Linked DNA regions of Bombyx mori. The protein of the gene in region 1 interacts with the protein of each later gene in a pairwise test. Links are inferred from orthologs where the notes say so. Each region holds a gene or a part of one and is shown in the gene's direction. Other genes may lie near its edges. The genes, in order: rho GTPase-activating protein 100F and neurexin 1.

Evidence for each region.
Region 2: the proteins of rho GTPase-activating protein 100F (region 1) and neurexin 1 interact in a two-hybrid assay, tested with the Drosophila melanogaster proteins (2 studies listed by BioGRID). The link is inferred for Bombyx mori from reciprocal best matches to the Drosophila melanogaster genes RhoGAP100F and Nrx-1.

What each region holds. Positions count from the first base shown.
Region 1 is NC_085128.1:5,376,251-5,380,662, reverse strand, and holds the start of rho GTPase-activating protein 100F, read left to right. Parts: upstream 1-1,505; 5' UTR 1,506-1,620; coding exon 1,621-1,707; intron 1,708-4,412. UniProt on the Drosophila melanogaster protein: GTPase activator for the Rho-type GTPases by converting them to an inactive GDP-bound state. Promotes the anchoring of Liprin-alpha clusters at synapses. Recruits and keeps Nrx-1 levels high in active zones in the presynapse opposite the postsynaptic region.
Region 2 is NC_085131.1:13,180,897-13,184,724, forward strand, and holds part of neurexin 1, read left to right. Parts: intron 1-716; coding exon 717-895; intron 896-1,186; coding exon 1,187-1,358; intron 1,359-1,869; coding exon 1,870-2,087; intron 2,088-2,972; coding exon 2,973-3,155; intron 3,156-3,828. UniProt on the Drosophila melanogaster protein: Neuronal cell adhesion protein involved in synapse formation, development of synaptic active zones, synaptic regulation and visual function. Plays a role in cell adhesion between the pre- and the postsynaptic cell.

The sequences.
Region 1 (4,412 bases):
AAACAATATAGTTTTATAATATAACTAGCCGTACTCGCCCGCTTCGCTGGGCATTTAAAATTAACATTATTATATATTTTCATTATTATTAGGGAGTCCAACACTCATATAAATATTTAGCCTATCCATTAAGTACATATATTTTCTATATGAATACCAAGTTTCAAGTCAAAGGATGCATGGTTCAGTAGTTATTATGGAACATTCGTAAAAACCACTGTAGATTTATATATTAGTATAGATTGGGTTTTTTTTTCCTTAACGAACTTGTATATATTATGTGTCATGATTGAATAATCGTGAACTGTTCGGGCACCAAGAACGTGACCTGATTGGAAGTTACTAAACTGGTATAAAATTTTAGTGATTTAATATTTCGTTAAGCCGAAATGTAAAACCAATGTGGCGGTGTTCATAATTCGAGTTCGGGCGAGACTGTAAATCTCGTGGGTCAGCAGATTTCACATCATGTTACATTGCGTGCCGTGCATAAAATATAGGTTAATGTAATTTTTTCGATGCGATGTCAATTGTTTTCTGTCGGGAATTATTAGTTATACTACTAATCTTAATTTTCGAGCATGGTTTGTTTATTTTATGACGACTAAAATTGTGACTAGGAAAAAGCGATGAGATCGAATTGAAAATATACTTCATAATTTATTATAATTAGGTATATTACTTTTTAGTTTTTTGAATAGTGTTAATAATGAGCAAATAAATATAATATAATAATTTGGTGTTATACAATAGCATGAATGAAATTTGGCTACATTTATAGTCTCTTTAAATAAACTAGAGGTCCCGCAGTAGTCAAAATTCGACTATAATTAAATGGAATTGTAAGTTTGTACACTATTATGATTGTAATTTATATTTCTATAATCACAAATTTCGCCAAGGCTACACTATAAAAAAATATTAATAAAGACAAACAATATTTAATCAATTCTCAATTTGACCACAGACGTCAAGAACAAAAGTTTGACAATAAATAGTATGCATGCGTGCGTGCGTCAAATACATGGTATGTAGTGTGTGTAATGTTTTCTTTATTGATTTAATGTGTCTTTTATGCATTATTAAAAAAAATAGCATTGTGCACTTCTTCTTTAAATTCTCTATAAGTGTGGAAAATTTCATACTCCTCCGTCCGTCGTAAAAAGGGATACAAAGTTTTTGCTTCACGTATTAATTCTCTTTAAATAAATAGTAATCAATTTTAAGGTTATTCAAATGACATGTGCGAGTAATCGTCCAAATAAGGACTTTGCGTTGTAGCGCTGACACGCCACTTGAAAGGGTGATGTCGAAATGCGATTAATAGGTCGTCAGTCGGCGTGTCGGGTGCACCGCGATAGTCTAGCGGCCGGAAGCGGCTCGCACCGAATAATCGCATCGATCGCCAAAAAACTAACCCACATACGCACTGGCAGCGTAGCCGGAATTATTAATCGTGAGGAGTAAGGGGCAAAGAGGGTGGCTTGGAGGGCGCAAGCGCGGGCTCACGGCGGGCACTTCGCGAGGAAGGCTCGCGTGCTCCGGCCGCGTCCTGACGCCCGCGGCGTCGCGATGCCGGCCCCGCGGTCGCTCTTGCAATCGCCGCGTTAACCTGTACCCATGCAGTGGCGAAAACTTACCAGGTTGAAGTCTTCGCCGGGCGGACAGTCGCGCGCTCGGAGGATGCTCTGCTGCGGCCGCAGGAAGGTATGCGATCCGATCGATAGCGCGCGCCGAAACCGTCGCCCCTCCCGGCACGGACGCCGACGTCGTTCGACGACCCCGCTCCCTAACGTCCCTCTCAAACATGCTTCTTTTGGGATGGTACCAAAGTCTTGTTCCCCTTGTATGCACTCATGAAAACCAATACAAGATTTTCACATGAGTTCAATGCAAGAATTTAAAATACATTTTAAGTTATGCTCATTTTCCTTATATCGTTGCGCTTAGAGGATCATTTATTTTTTAATCAGTCACACGAAATAACTTTGGAACCATTTATATAAATTTATTATTTAGAGTACAATACAATTTATATAATAGTATAATATAGTATTTTCTGAGATGATTAGGAAAATTCTTAGGTTAAGTTAACCTCAAAGACAAATCCTTAACTTTAGTAAGCTGTATACTGACGGGAATAGAGCTTGTTACTAGTCCCAAGATCGATTTATGTGGGAAGCTATTGTTAATAAGCAAGAAGCGCCCTCCAATTACATCAGTGGCTTTTTAATTTAGAATTATGGTGTCTTCAGCTCGCACTTGTGCAACATTCATTTCCGCTCCCCTCTTCCTCCTTTCTACAATTTAATTAGATTATAATTAGGCAAGATTTTCCTTAATGTTCAAGTTTCAATTAAATTTTCTTCATTAAGCCGTTTAAGTGCCGTGTTATAATGTGGGGTAACGAAGGCGACCCTCGCAGCATCTTACGCCATCTTGGTTTAAGATGTTATATTATAGGTAGACGCCTTGTCTGTGTCACCTAGAACTTATATCTTATATGCATTTTTATAGTAAAATACTACATGATCCGTCTTAGTAGAGTTTAAATACTAGAAGATGTATTTTTGTGTAGGGTGATTTAAATCATAGCCAATCTGGTATGAGAATTTGGTACAATAAGTAACTGAGATTATTTCTTTTATCGCATTGAAAATCGAATATATGGACATCTTAACGAATACATGGACTTACATCGTAATTTCTTTGAATTGGCTGGGTTGACTAACTCATGCTCTGCTCGGTTTGAAATCACAACGCAAACCCAGCCCCCCGCCATGACCTATGAGTTCAGAGTCTCAGTTTTAATAAATATTATGTTTTGTTGTGTTTCCTACTATCCAAGTCAAAACTTTGAATGTTTTAAGATACACACAAACATATAAAGATATCTATTCGTATGAATTCAAACTACGCTGTACTAAAATACGTTCTCATCATCTTTTCCGAAGAGCTCCATTTTAGTTGGTACATTTGTTCCTCAAGCGATTATTTTTTTCTTTTATCGGACTCATCTCCTTGAGTATAATTTTATAAATTCACTCAATAAATCAATTTTATAAATATATAAAACTAATTATTTTATTCATGAATAAAAAAAACAGTATTTTCAAATGAAATTATACTTCCCTTCTATAGGACGTAGAACTCTGTTTCAAAATGAAATTCTGTAAATGAATTCTCTATAATACGTATTGATTTTATGATCTTTAAATACTCGATTAAATATGACATAGCTTTTATGATGTAGCACGGTTGTTGTTAAAACGTTAAGTGTAGTGAATTTTTTTTTAATTGCTTAGATGGTTGGACGAGCTTACAGCCCACCTGGTGTTAAGTGGTTACTGGAGCCCATAGACATCTACAACGTAAATTCGCCACCCACCTTGAGATATAAGTTCTAAGGTCTCAGTATAGTTACGACGGCTGCCCCGCCTTTCAAACCGAAACGCATTCCTGCTTCACGGCAGAAATAGACAGGGTGGTGGTACCTATCCGTGCAGACTCACAAGACGTCCTACCATCAGTAAAATAATCATGCATCTCAGTGTGAAGAGTAGAAGTGGGTTTTTTGGAAGACTTCGATCTTCATATGTCAAGGTAGCTGGTGAAGTTTTAAGCTTGCCAAAATGGCCGTGATTTCCTCTGCCGCTGTGCACTTAAGACAGTTTCCTTCATTGATCACACACATTCATACATCTGAAAAACATTCGGTAGTACTATTTATTATTACGTGTACTGACTTTAATTAGCGAGTAGTAATTACAAAAAAAAAACCACTTGTTCGCTTTCAAATGTAAATTATAATTTAGATTTGATTGTCACGCTAGTTATAGTGACAGAATACAAGCAAACTTAATTAACTGTAAAAAAATCAGATTAAACAAGCGTGCAATTAGTTATTTTGCGTTACAGATTAAAATAAATCCAATCAATCATTATATTCCGTTGGAATTGTTACTGTTAGAATTTATTTAAGAAGCTTCTGGGTCTTTATTGTTAGGCGATGACTTTTGGCAATGGACACGTGGAAAGTACCAGCCTGATAAACTCTCAAATTCATTTATAGGTAGCGGCTTGGATGTGTGGATGAGCTCACAGCCCACCTGGTGTTAAGTGGTTACCGGAGCCCATAGACATCTATAACGTAAATGCCGCCGCCCACCTTGAGATATGAGTTCTAAGATCTCAGTATAGTTACAACGGCTGCCCCACCCTTCAAACCGAAACGCATTACAGCTTCACGGCCGAAATAGGCAGGGTGGTGGTATCTACCCTTACGGAGTCACAAGAGGTCCTACCACCTGTGAAATCTGATATTAATTTGATATTAAGCTACCAGACATAATTTGAAACGGTTGATCAATGATTAATAGTATCTCGTTAAACGAAGCTTACAGTAAAATTTT
Region 2 (3,828 bases), on another chromosome or scaffold:
GGATGTGGACTAATCAACAGCAACAGCAGCAATTCAAAACAAACATTTGGGAAGTAATTTTGGTAATCAAATCCTAAAGCCTAAATCTCACTGGTTCGCTATTAACTTTCAATCGAGCTATAAGAAAACCTGTAAAAATTTGTTTCGAAAAGTTCGAACGAGTCCACGGATAGACTTTGATCCCAAATCCCAGAGATTGGCCCATTATTAACAATAAGCAATAAGTAAAACTTGTAAAATTTTGTTTTGAACCTTTATGTCTACGGAGAGACTTCAGTCCTCGGTCTTGTACCGTATGGTCCATGAAGAGTGCTCTGTCGAATTGTTTGAGAGAATATCATCATTTCGTTTTTATCACCGTATCGCTCGCCACCGGACCAGTGCTCACAGTGCGTTTCCACAGATCTATTCTGCCACGTACTGTCTGGCTTTTCTTCAAAGGAAGCTTGCAGACGTTCCACAACAGTAGAAAGTGTCTTGTTCCTACCTCCGGCATTGATGATGTCTAGCGCGACGATAGCCATCCAATGTCAGATGAGTGTCTATAAAAAATGGCAATTGAAATTTTAACCTTATGTTTGAAGGTTGGCGATTATGATGTTTCTTGTGAGCCTGCGACCCCATATCATTGCGTCATTTACAGTTTGGAGCGTTCGTAAAATATTTCGAAATACGATTATATACTTTTGTAACTTATTTGTATTGTGTGTACCCAGAATCAATAGCTTACGAATTCGGACCAAGCAGAGGGACAATAACCTACACGTTCCCGCCCAGCTCAGTAGCGGATACGGAGATGGACAAAGTGGCGTTAGGCTTCGTCACCAGCAAGGCAGATGCTGTGTTACTGAAAATCGAGTCTTCAAACACTCAAGATTATATGCAGATGGAGATTGTAAGTGAGGCCGGAAAATCTTCAACCAAGTCATAATTCCGTTCGATTAAAAAGGCCTTAATGTGGCCTTAATAAAAAAAAATTGTATTTTTTTATTTGTTTTTTCGTTTATTGTAAATATTTTTACTTATTTAAAAAAAAAGAAAATATTTGAGAAATAACCAAAAATAAACTCAGTTAATATTGTTATTTATATTTTGACATGCAACAAGTGTGTTATGCTGACATCTAAGTTGAAATAAATGATTTTGAATTTGAATTTGAATACTAAAAACAACAACTGCTCTTCAGATTCGCGGAAACCTTTTCATGGTGTACAACGTTGGTGCTGGTGACCATCCGCTCGGCGACGAGACGACCAGGGTCGATGATGGAGCGTACCACGTGGCGAGGTTTACGAGGAACGGCAGCCGATCGTCGCTCCAGCTCGACAACTATGACGTCATCATTCGGCATCCGCAAGGTGGAGAGATTTTTTAAAGTTGACTTTAGGGAACTTTTCGTAAAAAGTCAGACCGCTAAGGTTTGTAATAAAAAACACGTGTGGCACTCGGGGACTGCCGCGGAAAGCAAAACATTAACTGTCCCCTTCACACTCATAAGCTAGACCGCGCGAGAGAGAGATGGGCAGACTTTAGATGATGCGCATGCAGTGCGACGTCACGCCGTGCGCTTATTTACAAACAGTACACAAGTGCAACGTGTGAATGTGTTGAACGCGAGCTACATGGTAGGCGGAGTGGGGGTGCTAGGTTTTATTTTCGTGACGGAATTTCTTGATTCGGTATAAAACCTATACAATAGCTTAAAATAATTCAAGGGTTTTGAAGCAGTCGTGACATCTTGTTGGAACTATGGGATCAGCGATTTACAATACAATTGACGGTTGGTCATGTCTCAAGGAGGGTGACGGCATTCCCTTTAGAGATCCAATGGACCCTGCAATAAAATGAAGGTTACCGTTCTGTTTCTAGGTGGTCAGCAGTCGACGATCTTCAACAGCATGTCGGTGGTGACGGTGGGCGGCGGCGGCGGCTCGGCGCGCCCGTACAGCGGCGTGCTGGCGGGGCTGGTGGTGGACGGCGTGCGCGTGCTGGAGCTGGCGGCGGCCGGCGACCCCGCCGTGTCCGTGCGCGGTGACGTCAGACGTGCGCACGCGCCGCTCGACAGGGACATCAACAGGATGCAACAGGTACGAACATATCATATCCCAAGGTGGCTGGTGGCATTTACTTTGTACATTACATGTTTATGGACTACGGTAACCACTTAACACTAGTGGTGAGCTCGTTCCATTTAAGCAATAAAAAAAAGAGCATGACCTTATGTTTTTCTTTTATTGTTCTTACAACTATTTATAATAACTAGACGACGACCTGTTTTTTTTTTTTTTTATAAATTGTGTTTTTTAGAAAGTATATTTAAATACGAATTACATATTGATAAAATGATGAAATATTCCAAGATCGTTTAGGCATTTTTATGTGAACACGTGAGTTCAAAAGACACAAATAATATAAATAAACCATTCATTTTCTTGATCTAATCTTAAACCAAACATTCATTGGCTTCTGGTGGCTTAACAACGCCATCTGCTGAAATAGCTTTAGTGTTATTGTGTCTTTAAAGCAGTTAGTTGCTCTCAATTATGAAAAATAGTATTATTATTCGCCCATAGATGTCGATAAAGTTGATTATCAATAAAGTTGATGATTGAAAACACGAATAAAACAACATTTTCTGAAAATAAATCGTAGCTAGATCGATTTATCGCCCCCGAAATCCCCTGTATACTAAATTTTATAAAAATCGTTGGAGCCGTTTCGTTATAAGAATAAAACTTAATGAAAATTACATTGGTATAATACAATTTCGAATTGCCTAAGAACCAATCATTTGCACATTGTTTTAAACAGACACTGAGATAGAAATAACATCATAATTCTGTGGATGTTGAAGAGCACCCAGTAATAGCTGGACGGGATCAGGGTCACCTACCCCGTATCTTCCATGACACAGACAATTATAGTGAAATGATACAATACAATAAATAAATGAAATTCTTTTGTTCTATCAGACCCCGCCATCGGGCTACGGAGGGCCGGGAGTACTGGACGAGCTCGTATACTCGGGAGCAGGCTCAGGATGCCGAGATGATGACGAAGACGCGTGCGTACTCCCCGACGCAGGGTCTGGTGATGACCTCATCACTCCCGTTTATGTACCTTCGACTAGGAGACCACCTTCGAAGACGCATAAGGTTTGTTTTGATAATATTCAGTGACGTTAATACATCGTATGCCTCTACTGTCTAAGGAAAAATACAACACTATTGGCACAACCACACGGTTGCCGAAATAGCAACATATTAATCGTTGCTATGGGTGTGGCAAATGTGGCTAAAGGTTCCGCCGAAGAATGGGCAGTCTGGTTCTTACAGATGGAGGTATAAGCCAGCACAAATAAGTACTATTATCCACTCAGATCTGTCCGGCAGCAATCCATGCGGTTCCGAAGCCTTTTTTGTAAAGCAATCAAGAATTCGGTCCCGTGTGCCAAAGTCGGCGATGAGATGTCTATTAGTTCCGGCGATAACAACATACTAGCCGGCCGTTAGCTTCGTCAGTCCAGTGGGAGACATATAAAAAATCGCTTGTCTTCTTTTTCGAAATACATTCGGTATTAAACGTGAAAACAGAATTAAAATGGTCAAATTTAGAAGTTTCTAGTCGCTATTTGGGTGCTCCACCGCATTAATATACCAGAGCCTTTGCACAACGGGGGCTAAAGCTCACGGAGTGGCCTATATCCATCCCCATCCCTACCTCATGAAAGCCACACCGATTGACGTGTCCGACGTATGTATCCGGCACAAGTTGACTCTCGGGAACCACCAGCTCTCGGGAACTGAACGTATCGTTTATCCTCTTCTA